Linked DNA regions of Notamacropus eugenii. Each later gene encodes a partner of the first gene's protein in a complex. Links are inferred from orthologs where the notes say so. Each region holds a gene or a part of one and is shown on either strand. Other genes may lie near its edges.

Region 1 (8,028 bases):
TACCTAAACACAATAAAACTTCATGGAAGCATGCTCGCAGCACACACTGGCATCTAATAGACTATGTGATCGTAAGGAGAAGAGACAGACAAGATGTGAGAGTGACAAAGGCAATGTGCGGTGCAGAGTACTGGACTGATCATAGACTTTCCAAGCTAAATATTCGCATTCATCAAAAGTGCTGCCCCCCAAGGCAAAATGACTACCAGAAGAATCAATGTCAACAAATTAGAGCTCTTCTCTGAGCATGAAGTTTGCTACTGATTTGGAGGGAAGGTTGAGCCAACGCACAATTGGTAACAGTGGAGCAGAAAGGGAGTGGGCAGCTTTCAGAGATTTGGTGCACAGCACTGCATTTGCTCATCTGGGTCAGAACACTTGCAAACACCAAGACTGGTTTGTTGAAAATGATGGGGAAACTCAGAAGCTGATAAACAAAAAACGAGAACTCCACAGGATTTACCAGCAGGATAGTTCATCCACCTCTAAGAAGGCAGCATTTAATTCCATCAAAAGCAAAAGCTACAAGCAAAGCTTAGAGAGAAGCAGGATTCCTGGCTCAGTAAGAATGCAGATGAAATTCAGTTTTATGCTGATAGTAACAATCCAAAGCACTTTTATGATTCCCTGAAAGCTATTTATGGACCAACAACCTACGATGCATCACAACTACTCAGTGCTGATGGAACCACATTGATTAGTGATAAGGACAGGATCCTAGAGAGATAGGCTGAACACTTCCATAGTGTTCTCAACAGACTATCATCAATCAATGCTGAGGCTACTGATTGTTTACCTCAGTTGAAGTCAATCCCTCCTTAGTTGAACTTCCAACTGAAGAAGAGGTTTTGAGGACCATTAGGCTCCTTTCATGTGGCAAAGCACCTGGTACTGATTCTATTCTAGCTGAGATTTACAAGGTACGGGGACCATTGCTCATACAAAAGCTGACTGAAATTTTCTAGGTTATATAGCAAGAGGAGGTTATCACCCAGGGGTTGAAGGATACCTCCATTGTCCATGTCTATAAAGGTAAAGGGAATAGATTGTCCTGTGACAATCAGAGATATCTCTCTTAGTCATTGTGGGCAAAATTCTTGCTAGAGTCCTCCTTAATAGGCTGATCTGACCTGGAAGACAGTCATATACCCGAGAGTCAGGGAACTTCAGAAAAGGCCAAGGAACAGTCAATATGGTGTTTGCCGCCCAACAACTCCAGGAGAAATGCCAGGAAAAATCTGACCAAGGCCTTTGACACTGTTAGTCACGAATGCTTATGTCAAATATGAATGAAAAATTATGTCAAAATGAAAATTATGTCAAAATTTGGTTACCTGGAGAAGTTCATCAGCATTGTACATTAATTTCATGATGGTATGTTGCCCAGGTTCTAGACAATGGACAATGCTCTCATGCCTTCCCAATGGAGTGAAACAGGGCTGTGTGCTTGCTCCCATGCTGTCAAATGCTTTCAATGAGAATGAACATGGCATCAAGTTCAGCTACCGCACTGATGGTAGGTTCTTGAATTTGAAAAGGCTATAAGCCAAGACCAAAATGGAAGGGAGTGTTTGTGCACGACTTTCTGTTTGGAGATGATTGTGCACCCAATGCAGCCTCTGAAGCTGAGAGGCAACAAAGAATGGATCAATTCTCTGCTGCCTGTGCTAACTTTGGTCTAATAATTAACACCAAGAAAACATAGGTGCTTCATCAGCCACCACCACACCATCCATACATGGAACCATCAGTTACAACAAACGGAGAAGTTTTGAATGCTGTGGATAAGTTCACTTATCCTTACTAGTGTACTTTCCAGGGATGTACACATTGATAATGAGGTTGATGCACACACTGCCAGAGATAGCTCCGTGTTTGGGAGGCTCCAAAGAAAAGTTTGGGAGAGAAGAGGTATTAGACTGACTACCAAACTGAAAGCCTACAGAGCCATTCTGTTGACCTCATTGTTGTATGCCTATGAAACATGGACAGTCTGCCAGCGCCATGCCAGGAAACTGAATCACTTCCATTTGAACTGTCTTAGGAAGATTCTGAGGATCACCTGGCAGGATAAGGTACCAGACGCTGAAGTCCTTGCTAGAACTAAACTGCCAAGCCTTCAAACTATGCTTCAGAGAGCACAACTCTGATGGGCTGGCCACACTGCTCGAATGCAAAATATACACTTGCCAAAAAGACTACTTTATGGAGAACTGGCATGGGGCAGGTGATCACGTGGTGGTCAGAAGAAGTGATACAAGGACACTCTCAAGAACTTTGGATCTGACTGTGCAACATGGGAGACACTGGCACAGGACGGCTCAGCATGGAGTGCCCACATCAGAAAAGGGGCCGTGCTCTATGAGCAAAGCAGAACAGACAGCACAAAGTAAGTGTAGGATGTGCACATTTGGAGTATCCACCCCAGATACTCCCACGGACTGTCTGTGCCCAACCTGTGGCGGAGCACTCTGAGCTCGTGCTGGTCTGACCAACAGTGGGACACACAGAAACTTCACTTTATCATGGTGACGTCATTTTGGTCCTCTTTGAAGACGAAGGACAACAGCCACGTGAAGTCTGAACACGCACCCGTGCCCAAACACGCACATATGCACACAAGGCAGCACAGGCACACACGTGAGCGCACACGTGAGCACACACAGGGACACTCGCACACCCAGGGGAGGCCGGCCCTGGCTCCAAGGGGAACCGGCAGAGAGCCTCGCGCTGGGGCTGCAGGGCATACGGGGCATACGGCAGGCATTCGCTAATGCCCACTGCAGCAGGGGGGGAGGGGAGAGGAATGAGCCAAGTCCCTCCCTCTGTCCGGGCCTCGGTTTCCCCACCTGTCAAAAGTGTGAGAAGCCAGACTGGGCCCTCCCCACGTGCCTAAGGCGTGCCACGTCCTGAGGGACAGAACCTCCCGCCCTCAAGGGGCTGACAGGCTACGCGGTGACGTCACTGAGCGCCGCGGCAGGTCCACCCCACCTGGTTGACGAGCTCGTCTTCTTCGTCCTCCTCTTCATCGCTCTCGTCGCCGCTCTCGTCGGTGTCCTCCGCCGTCTCCTCGCGCTCCTCCTCGGCCCGGGCTCCCGGAGGCTGCGGGTGCCGGTTGCCCAGGGCGCGCTTCTTGGCCTGGGACGCCATGCTGCCTGTCTCCCACTGCACCTGCGCAGCTGCTTCCGGGTTAGGGCTTCTGGGCCGGCTCATGCGCGTGGGGAGAAAGTTCCCAGAGTATGGGCGGGAGAGGAGCGAGTCTAAGGCGCTTTGAAGCCCCTAAAGTAGGGAGAGCAGCCTTCGAGCCTGATCTGTTTCGTTGAACATTAAATGATCCTGGATGCGCCCTGATGCTGGCCTCCCCGGGCCTGAGTTCCCCCTCGTCCGACAGTGGTTCGCTCCACCGAGGGGGGAGCTGGGAGTGGATCCTTGGAAGGGCAGGGGGCGTGGCCTGCTGTGCGCGTGCGCCTACGCCCGTGCGCGTGCGCACTTGTGCGCGAATCACTTAAGACCTTCGCGTGGCTCTCTTCGTTTACCGGCGGGGAAACTGAGGTCGCTGCTGTCTCCCAACATCATGGCTCCGGGTCAGTGCCCCCGCCCCCCAGGGCTGTCCACGGCCACGAGCATTTTCAAAGGACGTACCTTCCGTGGAGTCCAAGGCCCTTCCCTTGTGACAGAGAAGGAAACTGAGACCCAGGAAGGGGAGGGAGTGGCCCGAGGCCTCCTGGGCAGGGAGTTAGCAGAGGCACAACTCGAACCCGGGCCGGGCCTTCTCCGACCTTTTCTTCGTGTGCCTCTAAAACCCTGCCCAGTGGGGGCCTAAGGGGTCATCTAGTGTCAAGGGTCACCCAGGGCCTCCGGGTCATCGATCACAGCACAGAGTCCCTCCCCTCACGTTCCCCTGTGCCAGTGGAGCCAGCCCGCACCATCAGCCGCAGGAAGCTCCGGGACCCCCACAGCCATCAGCGTGTGGCACAGTGCTCGAACCCAGGTCTTCTTCCTCCCGCTCCCTGGGTCCGCCATCCCCCTGGCCCGGCTGCACGCTGGACAGGCTGCAGGGAGAAGCTCTGTTTAATGTGCCCCGCCTAAGCTCCTCCTCTCCCGTGCCAGGCGCTGGGAGTGCCACCAGCCCCAGGGCCAAGGGAAGGTTTTGTGCAGCCCCAGACCTGAGCCTGTGTGGGGGAGGTGGGGGCCACCCCCGCGGGAGCTTAAGTCAGAGCTGTCTGGAAAGATGGCATCCGCCTCTTCCTCCCAGGAGACTGAAGCTGAAGAGGAGAGGCTTGGGGAACCGGAGCAAGGAGGTGAGAGTTTGGGGTTTGGAGGCAGGAGCCTGAGAGAGACAGCCTGGGTCAGCCTGTTAAGAATGGGCCTTGGTGGTCAAGAACAGGTGGCACTAAAGAAAGTCGGAGGGCTGAGGGGCATCCAGACACTCTCAGAGCTCAGCTCACACCCTCACTTCATGATCTCAGAGAAAGCAATAGTAAAAAGAGATTTAACTAAAAGAGAAAAATAGGGAGTATACACACACGCACACACACACAAAATGACATGACATCTGAATTCTTACAAGAAAAGTTAAATGTGTTATAGGAAAACACAGTAGAACTATAATAGTAGGGAGGGAGCTTCTGTTTACCCCCTCACACCTACAGGAATCTAACCAAAAGAAGCAAAGGACCTAAATAAGATTTTAGAAAAATTTGATATGATAGTCCTCTAGAGGTTGTCAGATGGAAATAGAAAGGATTATATATATTTATCACCTGTAGACAGCACCTTTACAAAAAAAAAAATGACCATGTAATAGGGCATAAAAACCTCACAAACATGCAAAAAAGCAGATATATTAAATGCACCTGTTTTACAGACCACAATACAATTAAAAATCAACAAATATTCACTAAATTAACAATTAAAAATTAAATGGAGACTAACTCAAGCCTAAAGAATTGGCAGGTCAAAGAACAAATATAAACTGATCACTTCATTTAAGAGAATTACAACAAAGAGAAAACATAGCAGAATTTTCAGGATTCAGCCAAAGTTATCTTTAGAGGAAACTATGGCTCTAAATACTTTGATTAGTAAAAGAGACCTGATCAATGAATTGGGGCAATGCAATTAAAAAACACACACACACTAGAAAACCAACAAATTTAAGCTCTCCAAATAAATGCCAAAATAGAAAATCCAAATATCAAAAAAGATTAATAAAATTGAAAGTGAAAAAAATTGAATTAATAATACTAACAGCTTTTAAAAAGATAGATAAATCATTCAAAGAGAAGAAAACGAAATTACCTAGCATCAAAAGAAAGATAAATCCATCCACTGAACCTCATTTGTGTCTAGTGGCATTTGTCAGCAGCCCTAGGGGTGTCCATCAGCTCTCCTTCCCTCCCACTAGCTAACTGGCTCTTCTCTCCCAACTGCACATTTCCCAAATGTTATCTTTTACATGCAGGAGGCATGCACCAAGTAGGGCCCGGTGGGGAGAGAGTCAGTCTCAGAACCAGGAAGGTGAAGACTGGAGTTCTCCTTCTGACACACACTGGCAGCTGACCTGACCACCCTTAGAACACAGTTTTCAAAGCAGGTACCAGCCTGGTTTCGTAGAGGGGGTTCCTGTGGTCCAGTCCCCTTCTCTCCCATGCACACCCCTGTTCATGCCCACGTCACCTCTGGTGTCCACCTCCTCTGACTCCTTCACAAGTGTGATCCTTGATCATTGAAACACCAGCCTGACTTCCTGGCCGGAAACAGGGAATTGTTGAAATGATAAACTTTTTTTTGTAGTTTGAAGTCCAAAAACAAACTAAAAAGGTCTTAACATTGCTAATGAGCTCTTTTTTTAGCCTTGGGTCCAGTTGCTGGCTGTTTTCTCAGATGGACCTAATATAGTTTGTACCTGGCCTATTTGGGGACTGAGGGGTTATGGCTTTGGTTAGATTCTTTTCTTACAGATAAAAGAAAGCCTCAATTAGGAGGACAATATTGATGAAAAATGTGCCTCTGCACACGCAACACACATAAAAGAACATCAGCTTTGCCTGGAAAAATTTTTTTTAAAACGAAAGTACTTTTTCCTTTAAAAACAAAAAGATCTCAGGATTCTGGCAGGAAACCTCAGTAGTTGATGGTAATACAAAGACTTGTCTGCAGTGTTTTCCCTGAATTTTCCATTGGAGAAATCACTGGGGATATCAGGAAAAACAGCATAGCACATAAGTAAAAAAAAGCTCATTTTGCACTAGGCTGTTGGGTTTTAAAACATGTTTGATCCGTGAATAAAACCCTTTTCTGTGTAAAGCCCTTTCACCTTGAAGAATGTCAGTTCACAGGAGTAAAGGCTAACATTTATGTGGCACTTTAAGGTTTGCAAACTGCCTTATAGCTGCTATCTCATTTCATCATCACAACAGCCCTGTGAGGGAGATGTTATTCCTGTTCCCTTATCACACATGAGGAAACTGAGGCAGAGAAGTTAAGTGACTGAGCTAGGATGTCCAGCTAAGTCTGGGTCTAGGGCATCTTTCTGATTCCACATTCAGTACCAGTGACTCTACCAGTCAGCGGGCTCAACTCCGGGTGCAGTAATACTATTCCAGTCTCTGAGTTTTCATCAGTTCTCATCAACTCCCTCTACTTTTGGAATACCTGCTTCCCCTCAAGGTACAGCTCAGTTGCTTTTTGTTCCAGAGGCCCAGGCAGAGCCCCCCAGTTACTTTGTGTCCATTTTGTGTTTACTTTTCCTTGTTCACGTTTCTCCGGAAAAGGAGAGAAGCTCCTTGTGGGCAGGACCTGTTTCATCTTTTCCAGGTACCTGGCACAGTACAAGCTTAAATACTTTGTAAACGACAGTCATCTGGGCCTAATCTGTGTTTTTGTGTTTAACACTTAAGGAAACAGAGTCCCAGAGAAGCTCGAATGATTTCACAAATGCCTTCCAGTGCTATAGTGGCTGAGTTGAGCTATAAATGACCCACCATCCAGCACTTTGGGGATACTGATCTGTCCTTTCTAGCCACTGCAAGGAAACAAGCAAAGAATTTGACTGCAGTAAATAAAGTAGAGAGGGGGAGGAAGGATGAAGCAGACTGCAGCACAGAAGGAAGCGAAGGGCCAGAAGAGGAGGAAAACAAGAGTTGGAATGAAATACCAGAAAAAAGGCCTTTCTTGCTCTGCTTGGGCATTGAGAGGGGGCTGCAATGGGAGTCTAGGTTGGACGGTTTCAGCCACAGCTAGGAAAGGACACAGTCTGGTGCTGACAGTTTCAGTATGAATTGGTGCTTTCAGCTGAAATGGGCCGTGGCTGTTTCATCCTCAAGTTAGAGGGTACTTGAGTACACCCTGAATGAGATTCTGTTCGAACTACAAATGCCAAGATGTCCATGCCACTCAATTACATCCCCATTTCCTTGGGGTATTAGGATTGTGAGAGGCTGTGCAGCTAGTTTCTGGTTGAAACACATTATGAATAACTCCATGAAATGATTAGATAATACCCATCTCCCCAAAGCAGCCATCGCAATCTAGCTGCCTTACCGTGAAGATAATTAGAATTTGGTTTCATAAGCATTATTTGTTTGCCAAGGCTTTGTTGCTTAGATACCAAGGAATAGGATTGTTCAGTCAGGGTCCTAGACAAACTCTGCTGCCTGCTGACCTTCTGCACTGAGAAGGAGGTCAGCAGTCTCTTAGAAGTGATAGAATTTTAGCTTTGCCTGTCCCCTCCCCTCATCTTCTATTGATGAAGCAGTACTTGGTAGTTAAAGGATATATTACCAATGCATAGGCACCCCATTCTTCACCACCACCACTGGCTGCTGAGGGCTGTGACATTTGTAACATGACTTCCCAGGGCTCAAGATCCTTCATGGACCATCCCTACGCACAATGATAGGGGGTCTGTACTAGGGCTCTTTCCTGCAGTGCATTAGGTATATGAGAGACTTTCTTTTCCATAGCTGTCAATGTGCCTAAATAATGTGGAGAGCTCTCATAGCCCCTTCCCTTGGAAAGAGCCTT
Region 2 (7,475 bases), on another chromosome or scaffold:
ACACACCCCATTCTACAGACAGGGTCACTCTTTTTTTTAAACTTCTCAGGAAAAACATTTTCCCTCTGGACATTTTAGAAATGGTCCTTAATTGCAGGGCAACCAAGTAGAGTATGTATGCTGCTGGCATGTGAACACTGGCTGAACCTGGGCAATATAGTAATTGCTAAAGTTGGCATCTGCTACATATGGAGCTGGCTGGTAGTAACAGGTGACATTGGCCACATTGGGGATAATATTTTGCTCAGCCAGCACACGGATAGCCAGCATGGTAATGAGATTCAAAGTCTGTCTTCTCTCGTGTCCCATCAAACACACCGTACTTTCATTCACCACACCGTGAAGGGTCATGAGATAGTCATACTTGCGGTCTTCCAATCCCACAAAGTGGTTCTGCAAGTAGGATTCCAATTTTCTCTGCTGTTCACCAATGTCTGAGAAGTCGATGAAAAATCTGGAACACATATACCTCTGGAGGGACTTAATTTCAGCTTCAGAAGCAGCTCTAAAGCCCCTAACCAAAAGGTTACAGTATTTGAGAAGCCCTCCTCCTCTGATTTCTTCTGGATTTCTGGTAGCAATGACCTTGTTGCAAAGGTGATCAAAGGCTTCTTGGAAATCCCCATAGACACTCTCCCCGATTATAGTGGGGTGAAAAGTTTCAGTCATTGGATTCTCTGAGCATTCATAAAAAAGCAAGAGAGAGTCTAACTTGATTTGGAAAGAGTCTACACTGAACTCAAACTGGCGCCGCAGGGAATCCACAAATTTCAGTTCCACATTTTTGCCACTGTTGTTTGACAGAGAGATGAGACTCCAGCGGTCTGAGTCATTGCATACTTTTACCATTTTCTGCACGTAAGCTTCCTAAAACATGAAAGACAAAGCAAGCAGATGAACACGACTACTAATTTAAATCAACCTCTTTTCACAAGTTAGAATGCAGCTGGCTCCTTTCACATTTTACTCAAACGCCCTAGGCTATCTACAGGTTTGAATACTCCCCTTCCAGAGGTTCCCCTCCCCCGCAACAAACTCATCTCCTAGGTAAATGAGACTTTTACAGCCTGGGATAGAGAAAAGAAGAAAAATATAAGTCTGATGTTCCTAGTAGATCGGGTTCAGTACTAACAGGTTCCGGGACAATGTCGGTGGTATTTCCTGAGAAGGCTGACTGCTCATGCCCACACAATTTTAACCAATTGCAAAAATGTTGCCAAAAAGGCTGACTCTGTAAGCCTTAAAGCATGCGGGTTTCCAAAATCCAGAGCCCATAACCGATTCATATTTTCCAATACAACAGCACTCAACTCATTGTCTCAGTCTTACTTCTTCAACGCAGTCTCACTAAGCTTGGGAGTCCTAACAGGACTCACCAAAGAAATTTAAATGGTTAAATAAATACAGATATTAAAATAAGCGACTTTCAAAACGTCACTACTTTTTAGTTCCTGAAATCCGTTCCAATGGAAACTTTCTTAGATAATGCATGCAAGGCTTTTTAAGATAAAATAAAATAAAAAATAAAAAAGGGTGTGTGTGTGCATAGAAAGAAAAAAGGAAACAAAATATTTAATAAGCGCCTACTACGTGGGCACTAGATACATTTTTACAAATGCTTAAATTTACGTGAGCTACCAACTTAGTAGATTCCAAAATTTATTCTCCAAAGCGACGCTAGGTTGCACGCACTTTACAGAGCCTCTAGTGGGGGGGATGGGGGGGTGTAGAGAGCTGGAGAGGGAGTAAGGAAGGTAAGAAGTGACTTAGAGAAATACATAACTTTTTTTATGACACGACTACATTGCTGACTGGTAAGGGAAATAGGACGAGGGAATGAGGGGAAAGGGAACACTCTAAAGCACCTTTAGTCAAAGCTAACTTTTCCGGCTCCATTTCCAGATCAAGAAAGTCCTACTTACTTCCATTCCAATCTGACTTCCCTTTGCAAGTCAATTCATTAGGAAGACTGACTTTTACCTTAAGAGTTAGAGGCGTAATCTTCTCCTTATTCACTCCTTCAGGCAAGAAATCCAATAGGCAGTCCAGGACCACGTCCTTGACAGTCTGAAACTCCTCTTCCCCCTGGAGATCTGCGCAGAAGATGAGGTCCAGGTCCTTGTAGCCCAGGCCACTGTCCTGGTGCAGGACGTGGCTAGCGGCGGAGCCGTTGAGTCGCACGTCGCGGACCCCAATGCGCTTCTCCTCCAGGCGGCTCCTCACCACCTTCACGATCTGACGGGGCTGCATCTCCAGGGTGGGAAAGTTGCCCCGGCCGTGGATGGGGATCGTCTCGCTCAAGATGTCGTCGAGCCGCTGCACTTGCTCCCAGCTCAGCACGTTACAATGCATGGTGGGGTTCTCACAGCAGCCAACACAGCAGTTATTCCCACCAAAGCCGCTGTTGCTGCAGCTGCAGCCGCACCACTCGCCGCCGCTGCCAGTACAGATGCGGACGCTTTTGGCGCTTTCGTCATCAGCCATGGTAAAGAGCCGTTTTCCCTCCGTTGCGAAATGCCCGGTGAATGCCAGGTTTTGCCCTAGGAGATAAGAAAGCAAAAGAAAAGATAAGTTAGAACCATTAAGCGGGTGGCTGGCGGCGAGGAGTCAGAGCCCCGTGACAGCCTGAAGATCCCAACCTAGGAGTTGCTGGATGGTTTTCCACTACAAATCTAAGGAAGATTTTCGCTTTCCCTCCCAGTCTAAAAATTGGACCTCTCCCCTCTCTCCCACATACACAGACCAGAAACCCCCGCAGCTTAGCCCAAAATGAACAGAATAGTCTCAGCTGCAAAAGGATGAACTGGAACTGATCCCATGTTCCCGTCCCACTTCTGTCACACCTGGGCTGAGTCGCAGCCTCCTGATCCGAAGAGTTATGAGTGTATGAACACAACAGCGAAGGAGAGAAAGCTTGGGACAAAGTGCAGAGGAGCCGTGGGTAGCTGAAGCGCAGAGTCGGGCAAAGGGGCTTCTCTTCCTGAATCCTGGCCAATTAACCTCTTTCGTTACTTTCTGTGCCCTGCTCTCCCTGGCTGGCAGAGAGTGCGGGTCTGTCTCTGCGTGCGCGAGGTCTTTACTCTTTTTTCCTCCACCTCCTTTTCTTAAGTGCTGCTCTCTCCCTTGAGGAGACTGGGGCAGCTGCCGTCGGGGCTACTCTATCCTGGGCTGCCACTGGCTTCCTGACGCTGCTGCTGCTGCGGCTGCTGTCCCGCCACCGCCTCCGCTTAAGCTTCCGTCTCTAGAGCTTTAGCAGTTCTGCTTGGGAAATGTCTTCTGTACTTTTTTATATGGGATTTCTCCGAGCTTCCGGGGATCATAGTCGCTGCACTCTAGCCACACCCACTTCATCTACATAGAGTTCGGCCTTCGGACCCAGTTCTGGCTCCCCCGCCCACCTCATTTACATAGAAATCTGCTTCTGCCCTCCCAACCCAGACTAGAACCATCTTTTGAGAGAGAACACCACCCTTTTTTTCTCTTTTTTTTCTACGCCACCTCTTTCTTTTCCCTAAGAAGCAGCATTGAAAATAGTTGTGTTTTTTTTTTTATAAAGAATGAAAAACAGCTTAAGTAGGCTACTGAAATTGTATCACCTGTTTAAACTACTGAAACTTCCTAGGGAAAAAAAATTGAATTTATTTTGCAAGGAATTGCTGCTAGTCACTTCATTAATTATGCTCAATTAAACGAGTGGAAATCCCAAAAGGTTCCTTTAATAAAATATTTTAGACAAGCGTATGAATGAATGCAGGGGTTATTCATAAAGTCTAAGTGGGGCTTTGCTTTTTTATTTTTCTCCCTTAATAACCTTGATTTAAATGTAAGTACAGTTCCTACACTTTTCCGATCAACGATACTTTAGCATGGAAGAAGGGAAGAGTTCGGGGTAACTGAGATTCAGTTCCAGCAACAAGTATATATGCCAATGAGTACACCCAAGGAGATAGCTCCTGAGATTCCGGCCGGGCGCATCAGGGGAGGATGCTGATGACTCATGCACCCACGTAAAAGTGTTTCTCCTAGGGCTGAATTAAAACTTGAAGAACAGCAGCTTGATGGACAGCTGGAGTCGCAGCAGCTCTACCCGACCCAACGTCACTGAGACCTGCGCTCCAGCCCCAGCTGCACGGAGAATCCTGGAGGCTTTGATGAGGGAAAGGCTAGACCAATCACCGAAGCCTCCGCGATGACGCTTATGCCTTTCTCTCGTCTAGTGGAAAGGAGGGTAGTGGGGGTGGGGGGTGGGGGGAGGGGGAAGAAGCCAATGGGCGAGTTGCGTGGGCGGGGCTGTGCCTGCTGTCAGAACTGTCTGAATGAGCTCGGTACGCGCAAGAAGGGGGAGTGGGAGAGGGGATAGAGGAGGAAAGACGTTGCCCTTATGTGGACCAAGCCGCCCACGCGGGGCAGCTTAGCTGCGACTCTCTCCTGTCAGGTTTTCTAGAAAAGACTAGGAGGAAAAGGCTCTTTTTGTGCTTCTTCCCCTACTAAATCTTTTTTTTTTTTAAAGCGGGCATGTAATAAATTATTTTAAAATGCTCTCTCTGTCTCTGTCTCTCTCTGTCTCTGTCTCTCTGTCTCTCTCTGTCTCTCTCTCTCTGTGTCTCTCTCTGTGTGTCTCTCTGTCTCTGTCTCTGTCTCTGTCTCTCTCTCTCTTCCCTATGGATCATAAAAAGGAATGAATTTCTTTCCCAGACACAGGAAATGAATGGGTGACAATCAGTTTCAGAGCTCCTTTTCGTTGGCCCCTGATTTGGCTCTTTGAAGTGTATGTACCAAGGTTCAACATTTATAGTCCACAGGGGCCCCTTTTACATCATCACTACGGCAAGAGAGGTCCGTGCTTTGATAGAAAGCACTGTTTCTCACAAAAGTGCAAAAAACAAAAAACAAAAAAACCATTCCTGAAACCTGCGTGTTGTGTTTGTGCTTTGAGTGAGTGGTACGTAGGGGAATAGGAAGGGATAAATGGGAGTAACCGCTGGGAGTGCTAAGAGCCCACTATATAACACTAGAGTATCAGGGGCTAAAGGAGAATGTACCCCAGTCCCTTTGGCATCCTCATGCCACCAGGGGCATCATTACACACTGCGTACTCGCTTGACTCACTCTAAATGGGGAATGGAGATACCTTGCAACTGAAACTTAAGGGATCGCAGAGATAGGGGGCGGGGACGGGGGGGGGGGGGTAACCTAGGGAGCATCCAGTTGTGTGGCAAGGCCTCCCCCTGCCGGAGAGAAAAAGAACTATATTTAAACGCAAAAGCAAACTCCTTTAACTGCTGGGCGTGGGGTTAGGGGGCGAGGGGAACATCTCTTCACCGTCAAAGACTAGTACTTGGGAAATAGTCCAGAACTAGGGAGTATTCCTTTAGGCCAGGTATTAGTAGAATGAATGATCTCTCCCCGACTTATCTAAATAATTCAAACACATTCATTCAGACTCTCAGATACACCCTGTCCTCAGAGCCAACACTTGATAACGTCTCCCTAAACTGAAAAGTAAGTAAGCTGGTAGAAGAAAACGGTTGTGTGACTAAAGTTACGGTTTTTAAAAAGGTCTGCTGTATTCTGAGTAGGTTTAGGTCCACTGGAGAGGACAAAAAAAGAAAATCAAATATTTTTTTTTCATATTCAGGTTTGTAACAATTTTCTTTTGGCAATTCGTGTTATTAGATAAAAAGAAAATCTAGTCACAGGACAAATAGCAATCATCTTCAGTCCTACAGAATCGGTCCCATTTCTCTGATAAATCATTCCTGATCTCTCATATACCTTCCAGGATCATAGTTCTAGAATTTGAAGGGACTTTCCCCAAGGACATCTATTCCAACCTTTTCATTTTACTGGTGAGAGAACTGAGGCCAGGGGAAATCAGGAGGAGTGGGTTCCAAGACCTTATTTAAATGACTGACTGAGTACCATCTAGCAGATGTTTGTTTAATGGTTGATTGGCTATGTGCACATGAATAAGGTACTTAATTTTTCTGAACTTCATATTTCTTATCTGTAGATTAAGGGAGATGGCCATAATGAGGAGGAGGAGAGTGAGGAAGAGAAAGAGGAGGAGAATGATTCAGTGCTTTAAGTTTTACAAAGTTCTTTGCTTGCAAAAGTCCTGTAAGGAAGACATTGCAAGCAGGAATTAGTTGCTACTAATGGTTTCTTCCAGCTCTAAAGTCTAAAGTTTCTCTAGTATAATACATATAATCATTGACTCTTCATGCCTGCAACTTATAAACTACCTAACAGTTACATTTAAGTATTTTAGAGAAGGTAACACAAAGTTTAAGATGCAGGATTGAGAGTTTGCTCATTGCAAAATGGAAGTGGTTACTCTAGTGAATAGGACCACGACTTAGTCTATTCCTACCTATCTAGCTCAGTTTCAATCAATTAATAGTTATAACAGGCACAGTGTTAAGTAATAAGGATACAAGAAGAGGCAAAAGTCAATTCCTGCCCTCAATTTGTAAGCAAATTGTACATATTTATTTATAAACACACACATTTTATATATATGTATACATACATACATACGCATGTATACATTTATGTAGATAGATAGTTTCCAGAGAAATGGGGACTACATGGTTTCTTAGAAAGTATCTAATGCCTAGCTATGTCTCTTCTGGCACAGAGTTGGTTGAAAATACAACATATGTTAAGAACATTTCACATCTGTGAAATTCACAGTGTAGAGATCTGCATTGATTCAACAAAACTGGTGTTAAAGTTTAAAAAACATTTTTTTCAGTACACTTACTCTTCAAAGGATTGGCAGAGTACTAACCTGAACAAATAAATTTATATCACTCTGTTGAAGAATTTAGAACATCAAAAACATATATGAGAAGAAAACTGGCACATGATGCCAAGAAGGGATGTGGGGATTGAAGTAGGAACAGGTTTATGATGGGTAATCTAAACTCAGGAATTCAGTTTCTCTGGAAGATGCTGGAATATCTTTTGATTTAGCCATTACTTTTCACAGGAATGAACACAACAGTGGAATTTTAAATGTATTTACTGATAAAGGCTAATGAGGGAGAGAGGAAGTTATAAGTGACAGGGAGCTGAGAAAGTCATAGGATCATATATTCGGAGCAATAAGGGCTTTCAGAGTCCTTCTAGTCCAACTCCCGAATTTTATTAACCAGGAAACAGATGGCTGGGGGGTTAAGGGACTTGCTCAAAATCACCTGGGTAGTAAATACCAAAGGTAGGACCAAGTTCTCTGGTTCTGGAATGAGTTCTCCTTCCACAGTCCCAAGCTGCTTCTAAACATATCACAAAGCAAGCCAGTCAATACAAAATAAGGATATGATAATCAATTTTGTGGGTCATCTATTGAAAGGCACTCATTTTGTGAGTGAGGGAAGTGAGGCATAGAAAAGTTAATTAATTTGGCTTGTCCAAGGTCATAGAGTTACTAAGGGACTGGGCTAGAATTCAAACTAAAGTTTTCTGACTAA

Evidence for each region. Proteins that work in one complex are often made in the same cells at the same time.
Region 2: the proteins of BCCIP (region 1) and TENT5A are in contact, whole or in part, in a crystal structure (PDB 8EXE), measured with the Homo sapiens proteins. The link is inferred for Notamacropus eugenii from reciprocal best matches to the Homo sapiens genes BCCIP and TENT5A. Residues at the interface, in NP_510868.1 of Homo sapiens: Val57, Asn58, Ile59, Glu60, Phe61, Glu62, Ala63, Tyr64, Ser65, Leu66, Gln146, Val149, Leu150, Phe152, Cys153, Glu154, Lys155, Asn156, Cys157, Glu158, Lys159, Glu163, Lys167, Leu203, Ala204, Ala206, Thr225; in NP_060103.2 of Homo sapiens: Arg87, Gly88, Asp139, Glu151, Gln155, Lys158, Lys184, Glu185, Val188, Gln189, Lys190, Met191, Val192, Lys193, Val194, Cys195, Asn196, Asp199, Trp201, Asn213, Arg289, Lys295, Glu331, Arg334, Gln341, Asn342, His343.

The regions. Positions count from the first base shown.
Region 1 is NC_092872.1:282,197,296-282,205,323, reverse strand, and holds the start of BCCIP (BRCA2 and CDKN1A-interacting protein), read right to left. Parts: upstream 3,214-8,028; coding exon 2,992-3,213; intron 1-2,991. UniProt on the Homo sapiens protein: During interphase, required for microtubule organizing and anchoring activities. During mitosis, required for the organization and stabilization of the spindle pole.
Region 2 is NC_092873.1:154,128,145-154,135,619, forward strand, and holds the start of TENT5A (terminal nucleotidyltransferase 5A), read right to left. Parts: upstream 3,293-7,475; 5' UTR 2,844-3,292; intron 2,541-2,843; 5' UTR 2,485-2,540; coding exon 1,981-2,484; intron 868-1,980; coding exon 88-867; 3' UTR 1-87.